Nothobranchius furzeri: one gene and its partners. The protein of the gene in region 1 interacts with the protein of each later gene in a pairwise test. Links are inferred from orthologs where the notes say so. Each region holds a gene or a part of one and is shown in the gene's direction. Other genes may lie near its edges.

Region 1 (4,245 bases):
TTTTTTTCTTTCTATGTTATTTAAAAGAAGCCATGTGGAGGCTTGAGGAGATTCTTTTTCTGACTTAAAGGGCAAGTCACCCCCAAATCACCTTTTTTAGCTGATAAACGAAATAAACGAGTGTCTAATCGTGCTGTAGACACGTGTCGTCAATAATTTGGCATTTCAGTGCATCTTAGTTAAAATTTAAATATTCTGCCTAAAACTGACAGTGTTGTGCCATTGTCAGGTAAAAACTCTGCACTGTATTTTGATTTAAATCTGCCACCGCTAATGGCTAAGAGGTATGCTATGATGTAAACTGGTACATTATGATGTCACAATGCTGTCGTGAGCCTGTGTGTGTATTTGTTAGCAGCTCCGTCTTCTCGGTCTGCCAGGCAACAGCATTTGTTGCATTTTTCAAACAGGAAGTGAGAGTGGAGATAGACTCTGGTAGGGGTTGACTTGCTCTTTAACAAAAAGCAATGAAATAAAAGCCTGGGTAGCATATTGGCTCCCAAGGAAGAAAAAAAACTCACTGTTCTGCAGTTTGCCTCCAATTCTTTCATCTTGAAGACCTTCTGGCTACACTACCTTCTTCTTCGTCGTGTTTATTGGCGGGTGGCATCTAACTTCTAGGTGCAGCTACACATTATTCATGCTGTCTAATCAGTCCCTTGATATGCCACACCTGTGAGGTGGGATGGATTATCTTGGTAAAGGAAAAGTGCTCACTAACACACGTAGACAGATTTCAGAACAAAATTTGAGAGTCATGGGTGTTTTGTGGGTGCAGAAAAAGTTTCAGATGTCTGAGTTCAGCTCATGAAAAATGAGAGCAAAAACAAAAGTTATGCATTTTTTCAGTGTAGTATTTGAAATTTATAAATGCATATCTGAGCTTTCCAGTAATCGGGTTTTTATGTTATTTAGTATTATTGATTTTTACTAATGTGATGACACATTTTAAAAGGTATGGTAAACTAAGGTTATGGACATATTTCAATGAAACAGGAGTGGTTAGGGTTTATGCTGTAGTAGCAATGGTTATAAATGTGGGTGATTGTGAACGTTGCTCATTTTAAAATAAAACTCAACCGTCCACAATTCAAGCCACATCAGCCCTGGAAGAACTAAATAGAGATTTTTTTTGGGCTAACAAAATAAAAGGTTTTAAATCACACAATTACCCACCTTAGTAAGACAGTGGCTGTTGGCTGATTTGTAAACTACAGTTTGATTCCTACTGTATTCATGTTTATCAGAAATCTTTCCTGTTACACGATCATTAGGTGGGAAACGAGTAAGACTCAGAAATGGGTGCTTTTATTCTGAAAACATAAGCCCCGTTAAACACCGGAAATTCTTCGGCGTGTTTCCAGATAACTCAAACGCATGTGGTTTCGCTCATATAATTAAGAATAGACTTACTAAGCTCTTTTTTGCTATACTGTTTGCTCCTACAGTCTGCTTTGTCTCACAGGACAGCATTACGTCTTCGTTTTCGAGGTAAAAGCGCGACCCGTGTAAAATATGTTACAGCGACGTAAATGCTAGCATATCCAGCTAAAAGTCACATTAATGTAAAATAGAGTAAATAAGAACACGCCAGCTCTTAAAGATATAGATCAAAAAGGTGGTTTTATGTTTTCAACGACAATTGAAAATGTGTGGTTTACGTGGAAGTTGAATACCCACTAGCTTGGTTTGAGCTAGCTTTGCTAGCTTCGCAGCACTGTTTACTTTCGGAAAACCACGTCATATTAACTAGTTCGACTTTTATGTGGCATGTTAGTATTTCACAAGGATATGTATAATGTTTCGTATTTGTTAAGTTTAAGGGTGAACATACACATGGTAAAATGTGTAAGAAGTCTATTCTGCTGATATTAGCTCAGCTAAAAGCCAAATGTAGATCAATTCTATTACCTGGTGTCTGTTTAAAGTGTGCGACAAACGTTGTCTGTATCACATAATTTATTACTTGCCTTTTGACCTCTGTCTTCATTCCTAGCTGGCTGAACTGTATAGATCATGTCACAGGCCACCAAACGCAAACATGTTGTCAAAGAGGTTCTGGAAGACTTCGTCACCCCAACAGAAAACCAGCAGATTGTAAAGGTAAACCATGTTTGCTTTTGCTCCCAGCTGCTTTAAAAACTACTCAAAGGTACCTCTCTAACTCGGATCTATATTTTGTACCTGTGCACATTCTCAGGTTATTGGTACTCGTGGTAACAACCTCCATGAAACAATCACAGCTCAGGGCGAGACCTTCCTGGTGAGCATGCCCACCAAGTTCCGTAAGAACATCTGGATCAAGAGAGGTAACTGATGAGATTTTTAAAATAAAGAAATAAATACACCTCACGCCAGTTTTGAGCATTGCTACTTGTTCCAGGAGCAAATATTTTTTTTATTCTCTGAAATCTTTCCTATTTCTCAATGTCTTTCATGATTTTTTAATGGCAGATAGGTTTTCTTTCTTTGTGTGTTGAGTCACTGAAATAACCACTGTCATGGTAATTGGTAATCAGGTTGCAGGTTTGAGCCCTGCTCAGTTTGTCGCTGCTGTTGTGTCCTTGGGCAAGACACTTAACCCTCTTTCCTGCTGGTGGTGGTGGGAGGAACCGGTGGCGCCAGTGCTCGGCAGCCTCGCCTCTGTCAGTGTAGCTGTGGCTACATCGTAGCTCATCCCCACCAGTGTGTGAATGTGTGTGTGAATGGGTGAATGACTATGTTGTAAAGCACCTTGTGGGGTATTCAAATACAGGCCATATACCATTCCCATGGGCTCAAGCAAGACTGGCAGCTGGCTTGAATAATCCCCATTTTTGATTTTCCTTTTTGTTCAGATTATTTATTGAAGTCTAGGGTGAAAAATGAAAGGAGGCAAAGAAAAGTAAAACAATGATTACTCAATAAAATTACATAAGGTAAAAATAGAGGTACAATGTCAAAAGGAGGGATAATGGAGAAGAAAACAAGTCTTCAAACAATAAAAATATTTTAAAATATATATATAAAAACAAGTCAAGTAATTATACAAAAATGGGAAAGAATTAAATACACATGTAAGTGCAAAACAATATAAAAAACAAGGAACCACAATATAAATGCTGCTTAGTAGAACGGATAAAAAATCAACTGGAGTGTTTATAATTCAATGCAAGTGAAAACAGATCTTAAGTCAATTCTCTTTATGCCAAGTTAATGTAGTAAATTCTTACTTTTGGGCAAGTGGAGTATTGAGTTAATTCTTCCACAACTTCACTTAAAGGGGCATTATGGAAGTGTGACAGCCAAAACATGTGTAGAAATAATAAATGTCTTCTTCATACATTCTCCTGCAATGCCCTGGTCCTGTAGAATGAGCCCTGGCATTTTTACTGTGATTGCCTGTTTTTCTGTAAAATCACAGAAAAAGAGAGATGCTCGGGTCGAGCAGGCTGCTTCATGCGCGTTCACGCTCAGGCATCGCCCTCCGAACCGTTCTTTGAACGTTGTTTCAGCTGTACAGGATATAAATGTTACAGATACAAAGGACGTCACTGGCGCTTTAGCACACCTAGTAAGATGTCTGACTCTCCTGCAGAAGACCTGGGTTCGATTCTGGATGTGAACATAGTTTATTTAGAGTTTCTTTTTTACATTGATATATTTTTTACAGTAAGACGGCCAAATTTTTATTTGAGACTCGCCGAACGGCATTGAATTCACAGATAAAAAAGATGTGGGTTCAACTTTTCACTTTGTCTGCTGTGCTGAAGAGAAAGGTACAGAACCAAATTATTGAATTAGCTGCGTGTTCTCCTGTCCTCTGTCCTCCGGGCCACACACACACACACACACACACACACACACAAGGGACTGTCTCAGCTGTTATTTTCGTTAAGGAGTGTGCACGTACAGCATGCGCGCCTCGTGCACGAGCCTACTATTGAAGCTGCCGTTCCGCTTTTGGCCTGAGGGGGCAATCACGAGCATAAACATTCAAAACTCCGTAAAGTCCCTTTAAATTAATGTTTCTAATTGTCAGGTTTGTTCCTGCATTTTGTTTTTCTTAAATCTCTGCTTCAATTAACCAGATTAGGTTTCTTCATGGAAAATAACAGAGGTGTGTGTGTGTGTGTGTGTGTGTGTGTGTGTGTGTGTGTGTGTGTGTGTGTGTGTGTGTGTGTGTGTGTGTGTGTGTGTGTGTGTGTGTGTGTGTGTGTGTGTGTGTGTGTGTGTGTGTGTGTTGTTTAGAAATCACTGTCAACT
Region 2 (2,685 bases), on another chromosome or scaffold:
CAGCTTGCTGTTTCGCAAACTGGTACGCTTCTGGGATTTTAAAAAGCAAAAATTAAACATACTTCTAAGATCAGGAGCTGTGTTTTGTCCTTAGGTGTGTGCCTTCTTTGATGACGCTACTCTGGCCAACTCTCTGCCAAATGGCAAAAGGAAACGTGGGCTCAATGACAACCGTAAGGGTTTGGACCAAAACATTGTGGGTGCAATTAAAGGTAAAACAAGATCAATTCACTCTTTGTTGCTGGCATAATAAAGACAAATGTTCTAATTATTTGAGTGACTTGTGGCCAGTGTTTACAGAAAAATACTGCACCAATCACAGAATAGAGAAGTTGCCAGGGCCTCGAGATTGGGTGCAGATCCTTCAAGACCAGATCAAACTTGCAAGGAGGAGGCTGAAACGAGGTCTGAAGCAGTCATTTGTTTTCTTTAAGTAAAATAAACAAGTTGCATATCGAAAGCTGTTCTATTGGGTCAATAGATGCTGCAGAAGCTGAGGAAAGCTCAACTGGACCATCGACCAGTAAGAACCTCACACAAAACTGCCTACATTTGCACTGGTTCTTCATCTTACATCACCTTTTCATCAGCCCCCCTCAGAGCACATAATGGCTTCACCTCTCCTCACTCCATTGTCACAACACACCCACAAATTGGTGTCTCTGGCTCCCTCATTGGCTCACCAGGCTATGGCATGCTTTCGCGCTGACATTTGACATTTTCATGCAGCTTCCCAAAATGTCAGCTAATTATCTTCACAACGTGCATCGTTTTCACTCTTTCACCTTTACAACGTAGCCACAGCTGTCAAATATCTAAATTCTCTACTTGCCACACATGCTTACATAAAATTCGCTGTTGTTTTGTTTTATAGTTCACAGCATTAAATTATATACTAACAATATTTTCTTCCTATACAGGCTGTGATTATAAGAAACCTGAATGTGACGAACACACACTGAAGAATGTAACGTGTTGATTCAACAGCTGCCTCGGCTGGAGTTCAGCTGATTATTTTTGTCCTCGTTATTTCTCTAACTGTAAGTGTTGGATTATGCCATTTTGCAACTGTTAACTATTAGGTAAAATGGGTAAAAGAAAATAAAAGGGCCAAACGAGAAAGCATCCATCATGAGCAAATATGGTTTACATTGTGTTAAATGAGCAGTCCATGATTGACATCCTTTTGGATCTGGAATTTTGTGCCAGGAAATACTGATGTAATAAAATAAAATAAGTGATTTATTGTTCACGGTTTAAGCAAATGCCTAAAAGGTGTGGAACACTCATTCAATCAATATGTTTGCAGTAGGAATGAATGCCTTATTAGTCGTACTTGGGGTGCACTGATGCACCATTTCCAGGAACTAGAAGTGAGCCACATCACAGCTGAGCTTCAGACGGCATGTTTTGGAGTCTGATTTCCTGAAATTCGGACAGCTAAACAGCTCTACCACTGACTCTGTTTGCTTTGCAACGTTGATTTTTATTTCCATATAAGCCTGGAGGAGTTCTGCTGTGTGGTGAAGTTGCTGATGCTAACAGTTAGCTTCTACTAGCCAATACATTCTCTGCTGTTTCCTGGATGTTAAATAAACAACAGCCTTCCCTGTTGTGGTCAAGATGGGTGAGTCCATGGGTATTTCTCAATGTCAAGGAGCCTGGCCTCGCTTACGAGGACACTGTCCTTCCTTGGGCAAAGGAAACGGTTAAATGGAACAGACTTGCATGACATGACCACAACTTCCACGGCGGTCATGTCTTGTCACGTGATACATGAGGTAACGTTATATTTTATGCGTATGAGTTTCAATATAAACGTATAACAAGCCTTATACTTTTTAAATTGTGTACATATGTAAGCAACTTATACCTGTTAGCAACCGAATCTGCAACTACTATAGGCAACTATATATATATATATATATATATATATATATATATATATATATATATATATATATATGCTATATTCTGGGAAATTTTTGACCAGGGCCAGGCTACAAGGCACCTCCCGTGTATCCTTGCTCAGCTCAGCTAGGATGCCTCGGTAGAACATGAACATTGGAACACACCTTGGCGGTTCCTGATGATGTTTCTCTTAGGCAACCGGGGCAGGACCAAGACGTCAAGTCAAAGTTCCTTCACATTAAGAAACACCCCATGAATGTTTGGTGACAATGTGATGTAGATCTGTCAGTCTTTTCAAATCGTTGAGTTTTCACCATCTAGTTTGCATGCAGGAGCTAGGCATAGAATTTTTTCATGTTCAGCCTGCATCTCAGAGTGGCCGATTATAATAAAAAATAAGATCTTAAAAGTGGGATTTCAGTGTTCTACACCTTTAAAGAAAATTTGCCAATATAATGGAGATCAGACATATCGAACAAGGCATAATGCTGTAAAAATGAACAGCATTAAATTATTGTTAGGACAACTCATCTCGAAAGAGGTTTTTCCATTGTGGATTGTGCCTTTTAAGTGACCAGTGGTTCAATGGGTGTAATGTGCAGCATCCACCTTGTTTGCAAACCTTATACTCAAAAGCGATGCATATTTGATTAATTTTTTATAATTAATTTTACATTGATTGGTTTAATTGTAATGTAAAAAACAATAGTCCTCTGTAAATATTTATTTTCAGTATTTTATGTATGCATCTTAAAGCTGTTCTTTTCAATCCTC
Region 3 (3,657 bases), on another chromosome or scaffold:
GTCCGTCCTCACTAGAGAGATGAACAGTGAAACCAGAGTGAGGAATGTCTCCGTGGGTTCATTCATTCATTCATTACACACACATTCACACCTGCATCGGCTAATCTGGCTGGTGCTCCTCCCTGAGCAACTTGTGAGTTCTAGATGAGCAGCATTTCTAGCTTTAGAAGCCACCATGATGGAAGCCTTGCCTTTAGGTCCACGCTAGCTGACAGCACATTCATTCTGACGTCTTGTTGTGTTCCAGCCGGTCAAGGACGATCCGCACTTCCATCACTTTCTGCTCATCCAGTCTGAAAAGGTGAGACCAAACCATCTGCAAGATCTTATGAACTGTTCTTCATGCTGTGTGTGTGTGTGTGTGTGTGTGTGCGTGTGCAGTGACGATGATCTCACATCCTTCCTCTCTGCTTACAGCCAGCCTCGTCGATGGAGCCCATCAGTAAACGCCTGAAAATCATCGAAGAGGTAAACGCAGGGCGAGTTTCAGACCCTACCTGTTGAAGCGGTGACACTGACAGTTGACTTCCTCCACACAGGTGACTGGCTCAACTTCTATCCAAGCAGCAGACAGCACAGCCATTAATGGCAGCATCACACCAACAGATAAAAGGTACCGACTCGTCGCACATGCCTGCAGACCGCTGGCCTTTGTTTTCCTGCCCTGACTCCACGCTTGTTTTCACCAATGATGACTAATTGATCCCTCTGATCTCTTTTTGTCAAAATGAAACAAGATGCTGGAAATCTAAAAACGGCTCTTTGCTGACTTGAACATGACCAGACTCTCATGAGTTTTGTCACTTTGGACGAGATGGGATGAAAATTAAGCTCGAAATGCTAATTTTTTCCCATTTGGCAAAAACTAAAAAATAACAGTGAAACGATTAGAAATACGGGCAACGAGGCTTCTTCTGGACATTAACACGTTTCTTAAACTGGGTGTTTTTTCTGTGACTGATGTTTGAGATCAGTCACACGGTATCAAGTAGGGATGAGCCGGAGACGAGTATCCGGTACGGATAAAGCATTTTTGACGAATACGATCAAGAAACGAGTAAAACTCGTAAATATCTGTAATGTTGCTGAAGGAAAATCCTCATTGAGTAACTGACTGTCTTCACGCTCTGTGATTGGCCAGTAACATAGAGCCCGCCCCTCCCTATACACAAAACTCTGCAGTCTCAGTCTGACAGACAGACAGAGAGAGATTTCTCTGTGCTTCACTGTTGCTCCCGTTTCTTCGGTACTCCCTAGGTTTTCTTCAGCTCGCCTCTTTTTAAAGTTACTATATTTGTAACGTACGTGGTGCATTTGACAAGACTAAGCTGAAAACGGCTCGTGCTGTCGGTCACTGCCTCCGCTCGGGGTTTTTTTCCACTCTCTTTCTCTCTCTCTGCCTTTAGCCTTAGAGAGCAAGTCACCCCCTACCAGATTCTTACTCAACTCTCACTTCCTGTTTGAAAAATGCAACAAATGCTGTTGCCTAGCAGACCGAGAGGGCGGAGCCACAAAAAAATACATACTCACGACATTGTGACATCATAATGTACCATCTAACATCATAGTGTACCTCTTAGCCAATAGCGATGGCAGATTTAAATTCAAATGCAGTGCTGAGTTTTTGCCTGACGACGGTGCATCACTGACAGTTTTAGGCAGATTATTTAAATTTTAACTACGATTAACTAAAGTGCCAGATTATTGACTGAACGTGTCTACAGAGCAATTAGACACTCATTTATGTTGTTTATCAACAAAAAAAGTTGATTTGAGGTTGACTTGCTCTTTAAAAATAAATGATGTTGGTAAACAACCAGTGTAACCGTGTGACTTATACATTCATCTGTCAGTATTACTTGTCAAACTAAAAACCCAAGTTTTAGTCGACTAAAAGTAATTTCACTCCAACAACCAAGACTTGAACCCAGATGGCTGCCGAAACCTCCACTGTCTGACGAGTGTGCTGCTCTTGTCCTGCAGGATAGGTTTTCTGGGCCTGGGTCTCATGGGTAGTGGCATTGTCTCCAACCTGCTGAAGATGGGCCATGTTGTCACCGTGTGGAACCGCACGGCAGAGAAGGTACTGTAATGTTCATCTGGCTTGGGGTCAGCTAGTGGTAAAAGATCTGTGTGCTGAATGTTTAGCTTTAGGTTGGTCCCGGTGTTGACTCCAGGATCCGTCAGCCACTTCCCGGAGGTAGACCTGGGCTGGTCCACTTCTGGGAAGTGGCTGACGGCGCGGAGTCAGCGTCCATCAAACAGTCAATGATGTACTCACCTATAAATAGGGAGGCACTGAAAATGTGGCCACTGGCGTTTTTTGGCCAATATGCCAAAATCACTGAAACAGGCTGTGAGGTGGTCCTCGTTTTCGTTTCATCCTCATGTGGAAACTTGCCTCAAAAATCGCAAATTCATACAGATAAAAAAAATGTCCCCCTTTTCGTAATTATGTGATGCACTTTCCTCTTTCAGTTTCACCTCCACCTCGTCTGCCCGGCGTTTTAAAATGTCTTTAACATTCCTGCTTCATCGTCACAGTCAGAGATGGAAATGAAGCCGTTTGAAATAATGGCGTTACTAAAAAGCTAGTTTTCATCAACGAGTAATCCAACCATAACGCCGTTTCCGCTACTCATGAGAAAATCCATGCGTTACTAATTCAGCAGCGCGGTGTGTTGAAGTGCAGTGAAGTGAAGCGGATGTTTTCATCCAAGAGCATCACTGCTCGAGAAGAACGAGGAAGACGTGATGAATCTACCGCTGCAGACCTGCTGATTCGCTGCTGCAGGTGTGGATCTGCAGCCGTGCCCTTCTTAGCGTGACAGCGGGACGTGCCGAAGGTCCGCTCACCTGTTCACCGCTCAGACGTCCTGACCTTCTACCTTCCTAGATCATCCAGCTGTAACCTGTTTCTGATCATGTCTTTAGTCCCGCTGTAACCCTGATGCATCAGTCTCAGACGTCATGGAGCTCAGGTGTTATTAGAACTACCTGTGTGTGTTTACCACCCAGCTTCAGCTCTTCTGTGGTTGGGTCTGACCCACGTTAGTAAATGTAAGTCCTCCATCAGGCTCGTGCCTCTTCTAGTGTCATTTTAAAGGATTTTATTTATTTATTTAACCATTACTAGATTAGCAGCTACAGAAATGCTGCTAAAACACACAATTATGTGAAGCTAGAAAAATTAAAATATTGTGCAAAATTACATTTATTTCTGTAATTTAACTAGACTGAGAGACCATTTAAAGGCTCAGGAACCTTTACAGGTGACCATTATCCAGTTTTATAAAAAACATTTGGACATACATTTTTTGTTCCAGTCATTAGTCATTTATATTTAACTAATGTAGTCATTCATAGTAAGTTAAAGCGCAAGTCACCCCCAAATCAACCTTTTTTTTGCTGATAAACTAAAACGAGTGTCTAATCGTGCTGCAGACACGTGTCGTCAATAATTTGGCACTTCCGTGCATCTTAGTTCAAATTTAAATATTCTGCCTAAAACTGACAGTGTTGTGCCGTTTTCAGGTAAAAACTGTATTTGAATTTAAATCTGCCACCGCTATTGGCTAAGAGGCATGCTATGATGTAAACTGGTACATTATGATGTCACAATGCTGTCGTGAGCCTGTGTGTGTGTATTTGTTAGTG

Evidence for each region.
Region 2: the proteins of eif1ad (region 1) and bend7 interact in binary tests that used the Homo sapiens proteins (3 or more experiments, as listed by UniProt). The two-hybrid records come from large-scale screens. The link is inferred for Nothobranchius furzeri from reciprocal best matches to the Homo sapiens genes EIF1AD and BEND7.
Region 3: the proteins of eif1ad (region 1) and glyr1 interact in binary tests that used the Homo sapiens proteins (3 or more experiments, as listed by UniProt). The two-hybrid records come from large-scale screens. The link is inferred for Nothobranchius furzeri from reciprocal best matches to the Homo sapiens genes EIF1AD and GLYR1.

Annotation. Positions count from the first base shown.
Region 1 is NC_091741.1:29,807,869-29,812,113, reverse strand, and holds the start of eif1ad (probable RNA-binding protein EIF1AD), read left to right. Parts: upstream 1-1,348; 5' UTR 1,349-1,491; intron 1,492-1,996; 5' UTR 1,997-2,016; coding exon 2,017-2,103; intron 2,104-2,200; coding exon 2,201-2,309; intron 2,310-4,245.
Region 2 is NC_091744.1:72,597,918-72,600,602, reverse strand, and holds the end of bend7 (BEN domain-containing protein 7), read left to right. Parts: coding exon 1-22; intron 23-94; coding exon 95-212; intron 213-291; coding exon 292-405; intron 406-481; coding exon 482-523; intron 524-920; coding exon 921-979; 3' UTR 980-2,103; downstream 2,104-2,685.
Region 3 is NC_091758.1:13,131,201-13,134,857, reverse strand, and holds part of glyr1 (cytokine-like nuclear factor N-PAC), read left to right. Parts: intron 1-247; coding exon 248-301; intron 302-417; coding exon 418-468; intron 469-539; coding exon 540-613; intron 614-1,983; coding exon 1,984-2,083; intron 2,084-3,657. UniProt on the Homo sapiens protein: Cytokine-like nuclear factor with chromatin gene reader activity involved in chromatin modification and regulation of gene expression. Acts as a nucleosome-destabilizing factor that is recruited to genes during transcriptional activation.